3 linked regions of the Drosophila melanogaster genome follow. The protein of the gene in region 1 interacts with the protein of each later gene in a pairwise test. Each region holds a gene or a part of one and is shown on either strand. Other genes may lie near its edges.

Region 1 (4,540 bases):
TCCCCCATTCTCAAATCCCAGGTTCTTAGCCTGCCTATGCAAATCAGCTGCGGCATAAATAATGCGACATCATTATTTAGACGAAGGTAGGCGCACAACACGAATCCTCTTTTCGGATTCGGATCCAGATCCAGCCAGAACATTTCTGTCGCCAGTCAGCGATCCATCAATTATGTCTGCAGCTGGGGAAGATTCGTCGTCTTCGGAGCTGCGGAGCCGGGCCTTGTCTCATTTCGATTGTCTTCGGGAGAAGGCTCCTTCCGCTCCCCTTTTGATTATGCACATGCATTTCGGCTCGTACATCAAACTCGAACTCGAATAAATGTGACGGCCTGCATGCATTCAAAGTTAAAGGAAATACGAAAAGGGAGAGGGACGTCCAAAAAGCAACAGCCAGGGGAATATGCTGATGGATGCCGGGTATAACTGATTTGTGTGTACTCGTATATATCTGAATTGGTAATTTGCTATAAGCGACTTTAATATGGCACGCAGTTGTACGCCATCTCCGCATCCCCTCTTCGAGACACTTTGCATACTCATCCAGAGTCGGGCAAATGTTTTCGATTTACATGGCTAAGTAGCAACGGTCCAGGTTTTCAAAACCAAAATATATAACACAAAAACTATTTTCGAGCGGCGAGTAAACCAAATGCGCATAACAATCTTATGCAACCAGACTCCATAGTAGCCATGTGTGCATTTAATCCTTCCCCTAGGAGATTGTTATAAATATTTTATTGAATGAAAGATCAATGCTATCTAATTAAATAAATTTAAAAATCATAGTTCGGTTTATTTCTAGTCTGAATTTTACGCACGGTAGAAAAGTTACTTTAACTGGATCGGTTTGGAATATTTAGGTCAACGGAACAAGATACTGAGCGCTGGGATTAGGATTCAAACAGCACTATGGAATTAAGCCCTACTGCCCCCGCAGTTTGGCTTCCGTGGATTTCCTTCGAACTTCTTCAGCTCACGAATCAGGTCACAGGAGCTTGGAACATCTAGGCAGTTGCATTCAACGCCCCGAGGCTTGCGAAGACGAGAGCGGCTGCACTCGGAGAAGGAAGGATAGGGGGCCTTGACTTTGACGCAGTCGGTCTTACGTCTAACGACGTGGCAAGAGACGCTGTCTACGGCCTTACAGCCGGGCATCTTGATTCTAGGGCAGGGTCCTCCCTCCGTGGGGCATTCGACATTCGTGGGACACTCGGCGGATGTCACGAACTTCTTGCGCTTGCGCCTTGGGATCGGCGGACGAATTCCCGCCTCGTAGCAGCAGATCTTCTTGGGCTTTATCTTTATGGGCGGACACTCCACCCAGGTGACCTGGTACTTGCGCGTGGCCTTGTCAGAGATCTTGTAGTAGCATTGGTCGTACGGGGGGAACCGTTCCGCGCAGGGATCGGTGCAGCACTCCGGCGGCTGCTTCACCAGATGATGGAACTGGAAGCCGTCCTCCTTCTTCGGCGGTGGTTTCTTCGCGAACCGGGGGTCTCCACAAGCGGTAAAATTACCGCAACCCTTTCCAGAACTGTCACTGCACTTTGGAGATGGATTGTGGTCCTTTGCGAAAGCGCGATGGCAGACCACGCTCGCAAAGCTGGGTATTACTCGATTTTGGGTTTTCGTTCCAATACTGCGCCACATAGACATGGCTGGATACGGGCTGATATAAATTTCTCGGGGGGGAAAGAAAGGTATCGCTAAATACAACAATCCCGAAACAAAAATGAAAATCCCTCGGCACCGAAAAATGACCAAACTACAAATTTGTAACCGAATACACAATCAGCTCAACGGAGCCGATGTGAATTTTGGAAGAGGCCGAGAGGAACTGGCATACAAAGTTATTCGACATGGCTACATCGCATCGAAGTAAATTTCAAGGCATCCTTTTCAGAATATTATTATATAGAAAGAGGAAATACTCTGTTAGCGCAGAGTACTCCATATTTATACATAAAAGAAAAAAAACCCTACAGTCGTTTTCTCCGTAAATCACATACCACTTATTCTGCTAGTACGAAAATTGTGACGAAATAGATTTACAATTGGTCAAAAATAAACTGAAATCCAAATAAAAACAAGAGCCATTACTCAGCAACATGGGTCAACTTCCGCTGCGTCAATGTCTCTAGAATCTGTATGCTAAACCTTATAGCTTTTATAGTTCCTGAGATCGAGACGTTCATATGGACAGACGGACATGGCCAGACCGACTCGGCTATTGAGTCTGATTAAAGTATATATATTACTTTATGGGGCCGGAAACGCTTCCATCTGATTGTTACATACATTTTTAAACGAATCTAGTATACCCATTTACTCTAAATATAATAATATAATATAAAATAAAATAAAAAGTATAATAAAATTTTCTTCAGCACTTAGGTCGCGAAAAGTATTTGGAGACAGGTTCTGCGGCAAATTCTACCAAAACCATTTTGTGCTGCGCTAACGTCTTTAGAGTCTGGTTGGTCAATCCAACCTGCATACCTTTTTAAGTGCCCGACATGGCCTGATTGGGAATGAACATGTATATAGAGTCGGAAATGCATCCTTCTGCCATTTACTTACGTTTCATCGTATTTAGTATACTCTACTAGTAGCGGGTACGATAATACCATTCCCACAAGTTTGCAAAACTTCATAGATTTTACTATAAATTCTCTAAGATATTTAAAATATGTATATCTTAAGTTATATACTCGTTTCCCTGAAAAGCAAATTGAGATGAGGAAGAGGAACCCTCACAAAAGTGGGGAAAAAAAAGGCACTGCAACTGGTACAACAGGTGTAGCTTAGATATATCTAGAGGTCTTTTAGAATTTGTATTCCAAATTTCCTATAAAGTATGCTGTGAATGCCCACTCCGAGCTGAGGATGTCGGGTTTTAGTTAGTCTACACTCAGTCCTTGGCCTAACATAACATATTTTCGACTATTTTCGGCTTTGTAAAACAAAATTTGGTAAAAAGGTTCAATATGTTGCGAATGTTGCGTCAGAAATGTCGTTCCCTCGTAGATCGGAGCATGCCGTGCCTGGAGTCTTTGGTAAATGCCTGTTCTCTATTCAAGGTCGATTGGTCCAAGAATCTGAGCCAAATCAAAACCCCGGCCGACTGCGTTGGCTCCAGTGTGCTCCGGCAGCACCTGTTACGCCGCAACTACAGCAGTCAGTCTTCCGCCGATGATTGCGGGCGGCCAAAGGATTGCGATCAGGTATCGACCTCCAAGGGCTGTGGTCCTGCTCGGTTCAAGGGCACCATTTGCGATGCAGTCAAGGGCGGTAAGCGCAAGAAGAAGGAAGAGCCCAAGAAGGAAAAGTCCAACAAGCCGAAGCTGCCAGCAAAGATGAGGTCCATGTGGTATATACCCGACTGCGAGTACGTGCCAAAGTGCGATGTGCCAGTGCGGTACGACATCCAGCACTACCGCATATCGGACAAAGAGGCCCGCCAGTACCAGGTGACGTGGAACGAGTGCCCCCGGTTGGTGATCAAGCCCAAGAAGGTGTGCATCCACGCAAAGCGACCGCGTCCGAAGCCCTGCCGCCGTCAGCGGAAGACGGTGGTGGCCACAGCCCGTCCCACGATGCCCATGCTTAATCCCATGGAGTGCAAGAAGGCAGAGGACTCCTCACCCTGTCCGCGCTGGACTCTTCCCTGCTGCAAGCCCGCCCGTATTCCGCCCAGTTGCCACCGAGAACGCCGACCTACCGACTGTACCAAGCGCCCGGCGCCGTATCCCAGCTTCTCAGAATGCAAGCGGGAGGAGCTCACTAACGCACCACCTACAGAGTGCCTATGCCTTCGAGTTCCCATGGCCTGCGAGATGTGGGCGGAGCTGAGGCGAAGGATCGCCCGTGGCAAGGGGGCAGTCCTTAAGTGTGGCGAAACGTAGGCGGCGGCGAAAGCACAGTCATTCGACATCTGGCCACAACATTCCGGTCACTTTTCCAACTCACAATCCACCAAAATTACAGTTTTCCAAAATAGCCAATTCATTCCATTCGCACTCCACAATCCACAATCCACAATCCACACTTTCCAAATTCAAAATGCTGTTAAAACGCTGCGGGAAAACCCTAATGCCAGTCGTCGTCCGATTGGCCAGCTGTGCCAGCTCCAAGGGCGGCACCTCGGACTCCAAGTGCAACTCCAATTCGAAGGATAAATGCAAGCCGGAGCCCAGCTGCAAGCGCTCCGCGAAGAGGAAGAACTGCTCCAAGGTCCCAACACCATTCCCGAGCTACTCGGAGTGCAAGCGAAAACAGACTGACCCTAATCCTTCCAAGGAGTGCGATTGCTGGGACTTTGACAAGTGCTGATCCCCGGCAATTTGGATACCGGAGCTCCGGGGATGTCTCTCGCTTATGGCCCTCCCACATTTTCATTCCATAAGACTGAGGACTCTGTACTCATAATCCCGTTGGTGGCACTGGGAGCCTAGGTGTTTTGTCCATGTCCAACCTTTGCAGTTATCCTGGACGCCTATTATAAAGCTTTAATCCACGTCAAACTGACCGACGTTGA
Region 2 (5,519 bases), 6.0 Mb from region 1:
AAAACGCGGCCAAATCGCGCGTGAATCGCTTCAAAACCGCAATGTAAACGCCAGCGGCAAGGCGGAAGCAAAAATGTAGAGATTACCGATTTTAAGTGTAAATTTTGCAATTTTATTTTCAGGACCAGGCTTCGTAGTTGGGTGAGTTCAATAAATACTTACAGGCTAGGCAAACATGTGTAACACAATCTTTAGTTAGCAACTAATACAACTTATCGAACAGGAGGCGGAGGCGGAGGCGGAGAAGTAGGCGGGGACGTTGCAGCGGCAGTGACAGTTGCCCGCCTGCTAGGCAAACGAGCGACAGCCGCTGCCATAGGAATAAATACTACAACTTCAGCTGCCTCTTCTCCTGCTTCCGATCGCGCTGCAAAAGGAACTCGCGCCTCAGATCGCTGGATCGCATCTCTAGTATGCAGTTCAGCTTGTTGTGGATCTGCTCCGCCGTGTGGGTGTCCGTATCGAAGTCGTAGTGCTTAAAGCGAATATTGCTGCTTGAAAAGAGTCCGGAAGAGTGACCCGGACTGCTGGGCGAGTGGGCAATCCCACCACTGCCGCTTCCCGCATTCAGTGTGGTTACGCTGGCGTTGATCGGCGCCGAAGTGCAGCCCGTGGAGAAGGAAGGGGACGAGGAGTTTGACTTCAGCCAGATGCGCAACAGAGCCTTCAGGTGGCGTCGCTCCAAAATCTCGCAGTGAGCAACAAAGTCAATGGGAGTGGATACGGGCTTCTTCTGCGGCCAGAACTTGGCATTCTTGCACTGATCGATCTCTATTCTCTCACCAGATATTCCCAGAGTCACATCGGATTTGAAGAACCTCTTGTCGATGATGTTGAGGCGGAAAGTACGATGCATGGGTGCTTCCAGCATATCGTTGTGATTCAACAATCGCTTCTCATACTCCTTGACATTATCGTGTGGACTATCGCCTCCTCCACCTCCTCCACCCGGATCACTAGTTCCTCCATTTAGGCTAATATTTTGCAGAGCCTTGACAGCCGCATCGGACAGAGCTGTCTTGTCTTCCACGGAAGTCATGGATTTACTGCCCAGCTGGCTGTGGTAATCAACTCGCGTCACTGGAGCCAATGGCCGACGCTCTGCGAGGGTCAGTTGGGAGAAGCCAAACTTAGAGCAGGGTTCGCGATTGTCCAACGGTGGGAAGTCTTCCATATCATCATTATCCTCTGTCATATACAAAGCGTAATGCTGCAGGGACTTCAAAGGAACGTCGGGATATTGTAAGGAGGTCCTGTAGCAGACAAAACCAATTACCTCCTGGATTTTGGCAGTGGCTACGACGCAGATCTTCAACGGGTAGTTGCGATCCGGCTCGGGAAGCATATTTAAAAACACGTTTATCCGTTTCGTTTGCATACCCACTTGGGAGGTGCCATCGAAGCGGGCGAATTCAATGAAGCGATTCTGTGCTTGCTTTGGACTTTTGGCCAACTGTTCAGTGAGCTGGCTCTGAACACCCTCATCTGACAGATCATCGTCGTTGGCTTTCGGTTCATTTTTAACTCGCTCAGCTTTGCTGAGGGGCAACTCTTTGCGTTTAAAGAAATCATCGCTCTCCGGTGGCTGCACTTCCTCCTGGTAGTTAACACTCTTGATGCGCGCCGCCCTTCGCTTGGCAATATCCAGTTTCTCTAGTTTTTGGGCAGTGTTGGAGCGAAAGCGGTGGGCGCCCACCTCCGGATACATTTGGATGTCAAAGGAGTGCGTGGACATGTCCTCCTCGTCGTCGCTGAGGTCCAGTCCCGGATAGCAGATGAAGTCCACTTCCTGGAGTGGCGCATCCGGATGCCGGGTGTTCCGCTCCGGTGTTGTCCCGCCCCCCGTCGGCGGTGTCTTGTGCGCCCGTCGCCAATGATAGTGATCTCCTCCAGCGCCCGAGTTACCGAATTTTCGCAAATAGTGTTTGGGCATGTCATCGCTCAGCATCACCGTCTCGCACATTCCGGTGTCGTCCGTGGATATGAAGGAGTTGCGGATGTGGGAGAGCAGCCAATGCTGGTTGGAGTAGGTCGCCATGGTAGTAAACAAAAGAAAATCTCTTTTTCAAAATTAATTTCTATTTATCTCAGCATCTCGGAAAAATGCACTAACGCCTTTGGATTATCTAGAGATGGAACATTGCGGTTGTTACTGGTCACTTTTTGGTGGTGGTAACGAATAGCACGCACAAGTCACCGTTCCCAACAGAACATAAGAGGAATACCTACTACATGAATATACTTAAATTATGCAATTAAGATAAAGGTTATACCAAGTACTTATTATCAAAGTAATATTTTGAATTTACATGCAAGTCTAGTTGTAGCGGTACTCGTTAAATCTGGTCTTTTTTCATTCAACGCAAACGGTCACTCTAGGCCACCATATGACTTTTTTCTGGACGCGAAAAATTGCCGAGTTACAGAATAAGTTAATTATAGTGAGTTTATCGTCGCCTGACCTGCCGTTTTTCGATGTCCACTTCTTGAGAACTCCCAATCGGATAGAGTCGATGTGCTAGCCAACGGCGAAATGGCGGGCATGGAGGTAGAATTCGACGAGACGGTGGCCAATCAGTTCAGCTGCAAGCGCTGCGACCGAGTAAGTGTGTGGGAAATGTCTCCTATTACCTCAATCTAACCACTATCCATTGATGCAGACCTTCAGAAGCAAGCGGGATCAGACGTTGCATCGACAAGAGGTGCACAACCACAACAAGACCACCTACGAGTGCAAGCTGTGCGCGAAGAGCTTCTGCAATTCGGGGAACCTGGATCGTCACATGAAGGTGCACAACGATGTGCGGCCTTTCGTGTGTAACATTTGCTCGAAGGCCTTCGCCCAGGCTGTGAACCTGCAGCGCCACTATGCGGTGCACAGCGGGGAGCGGCCATTCACCTGTAACTTCTGCAACAAGTCCTTCACCCAGCAGAGCAACATGAAGCGCCACAAGATGACACACACTGGCGAGAAGCCGTTCCGCTGCCAGCGATGCGGCAGGTACTTCTCCCAGCTGGTTAACCTCAAGAAACACAAGCTTGGCCACCTCAACGCCAAGCCCTACCAGTGTAATTACTGCGAGAAGGGCTTCACCCAGCTGTCAAACTTTAAGCGCCACTTGCAGTCGCACATAAAGGAGGGCGTCGATGTGGACGTGCCCGCCTCTATCCAGGCGGCTGCCGCCCTGGCCAGGGAACGGCTTGAGTCGGAGCAGAAACCGTGAGTACTTGCCGGCTGTAGAAGATCAAGGTGCCCTTTGATTAGTTCAACCTGTTCAGACCTACCTTAAGTTGCCTATTCGACACCGATTATCGACGGGTCATGATTAGATTCGGTGCTGATTAGTGTGCTTAACTGTGCTCATTTCCCTTTTATGAACAATTAATACTATATGCATTTTTGAAGGTGTACACGTTCCCAATCAATACTTTTATATATTAATTGACTAGCCTCAAAACTATCCTTGATCCTTCTACATTTGCTTGTTGTGAATTTTATTATTGAATTAAAACATTTCATTTTCAGAAGCTTTTTCGAATGCATGGTGTGTCGGGCCATCTTTGATACCTTCGCTGACTATGAGAAGCACGAAGCCAAGTGCCATGAGGACCACGAAAGGGCCCAGCTGGAGGTTAACCAGATGTCCCACATGCATCCAGACGACTATTTGCCCATGAAGTTTGCCGTGCCCGATCTGGATACGCACGAAATCATAATTGAGACTACACATTAGAAATGGCAATAATTTTAAATGAAATACCACGAAAACACACAACCCAACTCACACCTAAACATACAAATAGCGGCGATTCCGACGGAAAGATGGAATGTGAAGAATATTGCATTGAATATACAGATATGAATATATATGCAGGCCAACATAGTTCTCCATTGAATTACACCAATAAATGCAATAAATATGCAGATAACCAATGCGAATCCTTCGCTATCCCTGTTGCTAATCGATCCGATCTCTGTTGACATTGTTGCGTGAATCAGGCTAACCCGTCGATTTACGGACCCTAAAGACGTTTTAACTGCACCCTTTATGATGTGCCATTTTATGAGCATATGTATGATATTCGCTGGATTTTCCCGAGTCACATCATCAATTCTCTCGTTCGCAAGTCCCAAAACCTCACAGTGCGTAAATTGTCGCTTTAATGACACATTTCGCACAGCCGTAAAACTGTCCCTTTTCCAGCTTGTCAGGCCAACATTCTTGCGTCATTAATGTGACAAATATGTTTGCCCAAATAGTCACGTTACCACTCACTGTTGTTCGTTAAGTTCGAAGAAGAAAGGTAAAGGAATCGCCCGATGGGTCTATAATTTATACATGTGATTTCTCGACTATTTGATTGAAACTAATTAAAGGCACGTTCCTGACTTGTTTACCCGCCAGCAGTCATGGAGCAATAATTGATCGCACAGTCCTTGCTATCAGCATCCACCGCTCGCTCTGACCATGTCCTTGTGGCCTTCGCAGTCATCGTTTTTGCGGCACTAAATCAAACTATTTATACATCTGACTCCCCGGACTACTCACACTTCCGCTCGCACAGGGAAATAATATTTCATGTCCACATCGTCGTCCTGCCACATTTTCTGGCTGTGCATGTGTGCGCCTGGTTCAATTGGCATGCGGCTGCTTAAATGGTCACTGCTTGGGGCCTCGGACTAATAGGTTCACATTTATTAAGCTGCCCAATGTCATTTGTTATAAATTTATTATGGTAAATGTCCTGCTCCTGATCTCAGCTCATAAGTTTAAGCAGTCATGTGAAGATGGCAAGAAACTGCAGCTAATTTATAGGATGCTGATCTCATCGGAGTTGATAAGTTAATTTAATTAAATTTATTTAAATAGTAGGGGAATGCAGCGTATTCTGTTTAAATTTGAAAACTATTCCTTAATTGATTATTTAATTTTTTGTGTAAGCATTATCCTTTTTGAACTTAGTAACAAAGTACATATATATCTCTTCTTAAACAGAAATATGTAAAACCGCGATTCCGTTTCAGTTTCTATTGTAAAAAATCCTTGCTGCAGATTTAGGGGTTGTGTTTTCAATGAAATCAATAGCTTGTTCTGCCCCGCCCCTTTTTAGGTCGCCGTTTGGGGAATTTAATTTTGTGTGTGTGCGCTTTTTTATACAGTTCAAATATTTGCACGCTGAGATTGTGTGGCAATAACGCTCCGTTTCCCGGCCAACACTTGCCGCCCTTTTTTTTTTGTGTTGGCCAATTGTTTGCTCGGCAGTGCACAGCATGCAAATAATCACCGTCGAATCACAGTGTGCTCAAACATTTGGGGGCGTGGCAGTTATGACGTCAGCCACGGTTAATGAGTCCTCGGTTCCCTTATTTCCTTTTTTAATCAAACAAGTTGACAAAGGCAAACAGCATCATCAGTTTTGCACACGCAGTTGAGTCATTAAGGCCAACGCCTGGGGTTAGGCAACGATTTTTCCTTGCTTTTTTCCTTCTGCTGAAAACTCCCCAAACCAAAAGTCAA
Region 3 (6,141 bases), on another chromosome or scaffold:
GGTGCCGATTCTCTCCTGCAGAATTTCGTACAACTTGTGGATGTGCTCGTTGTGGGCCGTCGTCGGCTGCATAGCCTTCATCAATGTGGCCAAACGACCGGCGGGCAGCTTATTGTGCACATACCACAAAAGTTTCAGCATGTGACGAGAGGTCACATTCTCGCGCGTCAGTCCGGCAAAGATGAACTCGTCGAAGAGCGTGGTGCAGAAGTCCTCCGTGGCAAACTCTTCGCTCATGGGGATGAGCAGGGCAATCTGTAGAGGTAAGCAATCGAGTCAGAAAAGTAAATATTAGAAAAGCAGCTATAAATGCTAACCAGAGAGTGCAGGAAGGGATCCTCATATGCGCGGTCGTCTTTGCAGGCGGACAGAATGGCCAAGACGCGCAACACGCCCACGCGATCCTTCAGGCGCGCCGTGTGCAGCGTATAGTACATGGCCAATATGCTGGCCACGGAACTCTCTTGAATGTACGCCTCCACGGCATCCGGTGCCGGTCCCGAATGCTCGATGGTGGTCAGAGCAGATTCACGCTCGTCCGGCGGTAGTTTCGCGTGCAAGCTGCGGCACTGGTCGTCAACCATTAACGACATGAGGGCGGGCAAAAACTTGGTGACCACCTGGCAATCAAGTTTGGGCTCCTTAAAGTCTTGCGAATCGATCATCACCCAGGCACTCAAGCCCAAGGCCAACATTCTCAACAACAGGATGAGTATCTGATTGTCACGCGGCATGCCCTCGTTGTTGATCAAGTGATGCAATATCTTGATGGCCGACGTGGCCAAAAAGTTGATGGCATACGGATCGCACAAAGTCATGGACAGATCGCCCAGAACCTGCTCCTGACCGCGCTTGATGTTGTCAAGAAATCCCTGGAGCTCCCGTGAACGTTTAATGTCCACATTCTTCTCCCTTATGCAGGCGTCCAGGCACCAGGTGAACTTGTGACAGGGATCTATCGAGATGATCTCCTGCACCTCGAGATCGTGTAAGGCCATCAGTAGCTCTGCACGCAGCGTGCAATAGTGAACATTGCGGGTGCGCAGGAATAGAGTGCGCAGGAACTGCAGCACCATATCGTACAGCTTGACACTGGTGCCAATCATGTTGGCCAACTTTTGGACTACTTCCCCCTGCCTTCGCACCTTGGGCGTTGGGTGGAAGAACAGATTGTTCAAGTTGGTGTGATCAAACAGGATGTGCTCCTTCTCGCGAATATATTGTGAGAGGAGAGGCGACACCTCGTCACCAAACAACGATTGATTATCACGCCATATCTGCCGCTTAACTTCCGTATCCGTGTCCGCATACAGTTCCCGATCCCTTACAAGGATTTTGAGGTACTTGTCATCGATGTGCTGGGTATTCCTCAATATGGCCATGACCACGGGCCGCAGCGACTTCACCCGAACGACGGGGAAGCTCTTAACGAGCAGCTCCTTGAGCTTCTTGTCCCGCTCCCGGGGCTCCTTTTGGCCCATCTCGTTGATGTGAGCTATCAGCTTGTCGCGCAGCTCCTCCATCAGCGAGGTATGAAAGTCCAGTCGACGCACGCCGTGCAAATCGAGTAAAGGCAACATGGGGCGCAGTGAAGGCAGCAATACACCATTCTCAAGCTAAAAAGGCAGGTGATATTTGGATAAATAAGCCCACCGAACTTTTGGCGCCCATTTTTCGGTGCAACGTAAACAAACCTGAAAACTCTCGATGGCCTTCAAGGGATCAGTGCAGGAGGTCAGGGCCTCGCGCAGATAGGCCTGACCCGGAATATTCACGTCCTCCAGTCCAGTTCCATTGTTATTTTTCGCCGGTGTGCTCATTATCATGCAATTCGTCGGCAAATTGAGCAAAACAAGACACGAAGCTACACAATTGTGTTGTTTTTTATTGCTAGCGAGGAGACAAAAAAATAAGCGCAGGCTTGCACATGTGCGGTGTTATCGATAGTGCACGTATCAGCACGGCTTGTAATAGCCAACTTTGTATGTTTAACATGTAGTTATTAATATTATTTTGCCAACAAATAGTTGTATTATTATTATTGGTAGAATGGTAAATGTTACAAAAATTAATAAAGATAATAAAAAAAAATTATATGGGCCACAAATACAATATAAGTCTAATTTCTAATAGTGTTGGTAAAAAAACTGAACTCAAAAAATAAAAACCTTTAATTAGTTTGCCTTAGAACATCATTCCCATACGACTTAATTGTATAAGAACGTAACTTTTAATTGAGGATTATAAATACAGGGAAACGGACTTTTGCTTTTCAGTGACGGCGAAAGAGAACGCCAATTCCGCGATGTGTCATCCCTAGCGCGAAATAAGCAACAGCAAAAACAGCCAAAAGCAAAGCAAGAGCATCAAGTGCAGTCAAATTCGCACAATTGGAGCTGAACGCCAAGGACAAGGCGTCTCGATTCTTGCCGAGATTCGTGCCCCGTAGCGACTACAAAGGAGATCCTGCTGCACACAGTCGCTATCCTTTGCATCGAGTGTGCGAGAGTGTGTGCGTGCGTGTTCCTACACCTACATAAGCTGGTGTTTGGCTCCGTTCAAGTGCGCTTGTGTATGTGTTTGTGCGTGCATTTCGACGAGAACGAAAGCCTCTCTTTTCGTGGGTAAACAAAAACAAAACACCTGAATGTGAGGAGCAGCATTGGTATCGGGATAAGGATCATCAGGATTTGGGAGAGCACAACAGTGGAAACCCACAGAAGCTGAAGCAACATGTCCTCGTCGACGCAAGAGCGCAAGCGCTACCACAAGGACAACGCGCCCACGGACGACATCCTTACGCTGATCAACCTGGTGCGCCAGAATCCGGTTCTCTACAACTACAAACTGCAGCCGAACCAGCGACGCCGCTCCGATGTCCTCAACGGATGGCAGGAGGTGGCCCAGCAGATAGGAAGTGAGTGCTAGTCATGGCCTGCTTCATGTCCGACTATTAGCCTTCTTCCAGAATTAATATAAGCTTCCGCTAAAGTTGGTTTTAAATACCACATGCATATTGTATTGATAGGCTAGTGTTCTGGCGCCGGCTACTATAACACAACTCATAATTTCATCGTTACTTAGAAACGTTTTCATAAATGTGATGCCTTTGAAGAGGTTCTAGCTTGTATCAATTATCTGTAAAAGGAATACGATTCCTTTGAAACCCCGCTCATATTTATACTACCTCTTTCTTTCTTCCAGACAAGTACACGGTGCAGGAGGTGCGTCGTAAGTGGAAGAACCTGCGGGACACTTTCCACCAGTACCGTCTGCGCACGCCCAAGTACATCGAAGGGCGGCTATCCAAGTGGCGCTACGCCAAGGAGCTGGACTTCCTGTCGAAGGTGTACCAGCCGAAACTGAAATCGCACCGGAACACACAGATCACCTATGAGACGAGTGGGGTTGCCGGCGCCGGTGGAGGCATTGGAGGCGCGAATAGTACCACATTGCCCATTGGAGCTATGCTGCATTTGAAACAGCATGTGGACGATGACGACGACGAGGTGATGGACGATGACGGGCAATCGGATCACGATACCGCCACGCTCTCCTCACATCACGGCACCTCGCAGATCACCCTGGTCAGCGATGAGGCGGAAACCTTCATCCTGACCGCCTACGAGGAGGGCGTCTCGGATGACACTGTATCGCAGCACCACCATCACCATCATCATGGCCATCACCAGCAGGAGCATCATCACCAGCCGCACCACCACCACCACCACCATCATCATCAGTCGCAGCACGACGGCAGCATCTCCAGCATTGAGCTCTCCCAGATTGCCCACGATGACGATGTGGTCGATGATGTCGATGACGAAGATGATGTGGTCGACCACGACGGTCAGCTGGATATTGTGAAGCACGAACTGGACGAGGACGGGGCAACCGGCGCCGAGGTGGACTACGAAGAGGTGTGCCTGTACGAGGAGGCCAGCGGTGCCCATGTGGATTGCGAAATTGGTGTGGGTGACGCCGTGGACGGCGGTAGCGATGTTACCCACGGCAAGGGTTTCCATTACATCGATACACACGAATTTTGCATATCGGACATTGAGCCACAGACAGTTCGCTCCAGCCAGCATCAGTTCTCGGCCAGCGGTGGATCGGGCAATGGCTCAAATAGTGTCCTAACCGGTGGGACTGTGGTAACCGATGGCAAGGTAAAGAATCTCACGCTGGTAACAACCACGTCTCCTGCGGCTGGGGGCGGTGGATCAACCAATCGTCATGATTCCTCAGTGTCAACGCAGCAAATTTCCCTGGTGGATGTAACAGAGGCGACCAGTACCAGTGTGACGATTTCAAGCACGCCGGCCATTTCTCTGAATGCGACTACCGTGACTACCACGCCAGCAGCGGCGCTGTGCAATACCACATCCTTCACATCCACGCCGACGGCCACGATCATTCAGATGCCCCCCTTGAACTGCGGATCTGGCCAGCCATTGGCCGTTAGTGCGGCGGCCAGCAGTTCTAACAATCTCATCAAGGAGGATGAGCAGCATCAGCAGCAACAAGTGGCCCAGGCACTGGCCAAGCGTGATGAGCTCGATCTGTTCTTTGACTTTCTCAAGAAGAAGATGCAGTGCTTCAGCAAGACACAGATTACGCACATTCAGATGGAGTTCCTCAACTGTGTCAGCCGGCAGGAAGCGGCCGAACAGGATGGCAAGGATTAGGGACACCTGTTTTTAGTTATGTTCCCCAAAAAACAACCAATACGATCCCTGAGTAGTTGCCTAGTTTTTTCCATGTATAGGATTAGGATGCGTACCGTTTACCAGTTTGCAAGTTCGTGGATTCCGCGTTCTTCAATTAGCTTTATCCTCCACCCACGAAACCCCGGATCCCTGTATCCTTCACCCCTCTACACCATCCATTCGAGTAAAAATATATATACATATATATTAGCCAGCGTTACAATCAATTGTAATTGGAAATAAAAGAAAATAAATCGATTCTCGAAAACTACACAATTCGAAATTCTTAAAGTTGAATAGCTTGTTTGCAACAGATGATCTATACCTAAGTCTTAGGATTATCCTGGTTTCCCCCCCGTTTTATAGACCGAACTAAATTGAAAACAAGAAAATTGGCGTAAATTATAGAATAAGAAGTTTTAAATTGAATTAGATTATATACATTACGAATTGCTTGTAAATTTTAAACAGCAAAAATTAATATAAGTACTTGCTTTAAAAGAAAAAATAGTATCTACTTTACAAAATCACGAACTATTTGAGAAATAAATATATGAAGAAACCTTCTTGATTGCTTATAACCCTTGATATATACATATTTGCTGGGATTTTCATGTCATTTTTATTTTATTAACAAATGAGACGACCGATCATCGCTCTTTATGAATAACAAGACAATTTGCATATGTGATTTTTCGCTTTCCGCGTGCGATTTATTTGGCGCAGCAGTCGTCCGAGGTCCGATGGCGGATGAAACAAACTTAAACGCAACACTTAGGCTAGTTCGGCTGAAGGTTAGGCTCGTTAAATATACACATATGCACTCTCGCAGAGATCATGCTACCGGCGCAGTGACCTCCGTTTGATCCACATCGCTGTGCAGCTTGGCAATGTGCTCCGAGTTAAAGTAGATGACAGTGATTGTGATGTCGTCGCGATACAGACGCACCGCGTCCCTGGGCAGCGTCAAATAGTACGAGATCTTCGAGTGCTCAATCCCATAGTCGGTGCCGCCCAAAGCATGCCGGATGAGATGCGTGGCCGCGTTTTGGTCTACGGGTTTGCGAGTGAGGCCAGCCCTGCAATGCAATAAAAGCGTAATTAATAAATAAATAAATAACAAGCATACATTTAAAGGATAACTGACTTTCTTTCGGCCAGCTGCTGAGAGATTTCCTGCAGCGTTGTATCGCCTTCCGGCAGGCGCATCGGTTCGAGGATCTTTTTGGAGTTGATGTGCTCCCCCACCAAGCTGACCACCTCGCTGGGCGGAAGGAAATCCCATAGGCCGTCGCTGGCGATGACTAGAAACTTGTCGTTGGGCCCCAATTCGTGCTGCTGGACATCGGGGCGGGCGGTTAGGTACGGTGGCGTATAGTAATTCGGCGCCATTGCCTGCACGCCGAACATCGGCAGCACCTTCTGCTGCATT

What was found. The genes of interacting proteins can lie anywhere in the genome.
Region 2: the proteins of CG8701 (region 1) and CG17385 interact in a two-hybrid assay, tested with the Drosophila melanogaster proteins (one large-scale study listed by BioGRID).
Region 3: the proteins of CG8701 (region 1) and CG12155 interact in a two-hybrid assay, tested with the Drosophila melanogaster proteins (one large-scale study listed by BioGRID).

What each region holds. Positions count from the first base shown.
Region 1 is NT_033778.4:8,368,371-8,372,910, reverse strand, and holds CG8701 (uncharacterized protein), read right to left. Parts: upstream 1,839-4,540; 5' UTR 1,660-1,838; coding exon 919-1,659; 3' UTR 769-918; downstream 1-768. Other genes in the region: CG2127 (uncharacterized protein), read left to right, coding at 2,991-3,908.
Region 2 is NT_033778.4:14,408,426-14,413,944, reverse strand, and holds CG17385 (uncharacterized protein), read left to right. Parts: upstream 1-2,372; 5' UTR 2,373-2,533; coding exon 2,534-2,602; intron 2,603-2,660; coding exon 2,661-3,220; intron 3,221-3,526; coding exon 3,527-3,734; 3' UTR 3,735-4,144; intron 4,145-4,205; 3' UTR 4,206-4,650; downstream 4,651-5,519. Other genes in the region: Sin1 (SAPK-interacting protein 1), read right to left, coding at 329-2,038.
Region 3 is NC_004354.4:7,726,458-7,732,598, forward strand, and holds CG12155 (uncharacterized protein), read left to right. Parts: upstream 1-2,297; 5' UTR 2,298-2,733; coding exon 2,734-2,917; intron 2,918-3,204; coding exon 3,205-4,688; 3' UTR 4,689-5,272; downstream 5,273-6,141. Other genes in the region: NELF-B, read right to left, coding at 1-255, 318-1,616, 1,695-1,826; Pdp (pyruvate dehydrogenase phosphatase), read right to left, coding at 5,545-5,788, 5,857-6,141.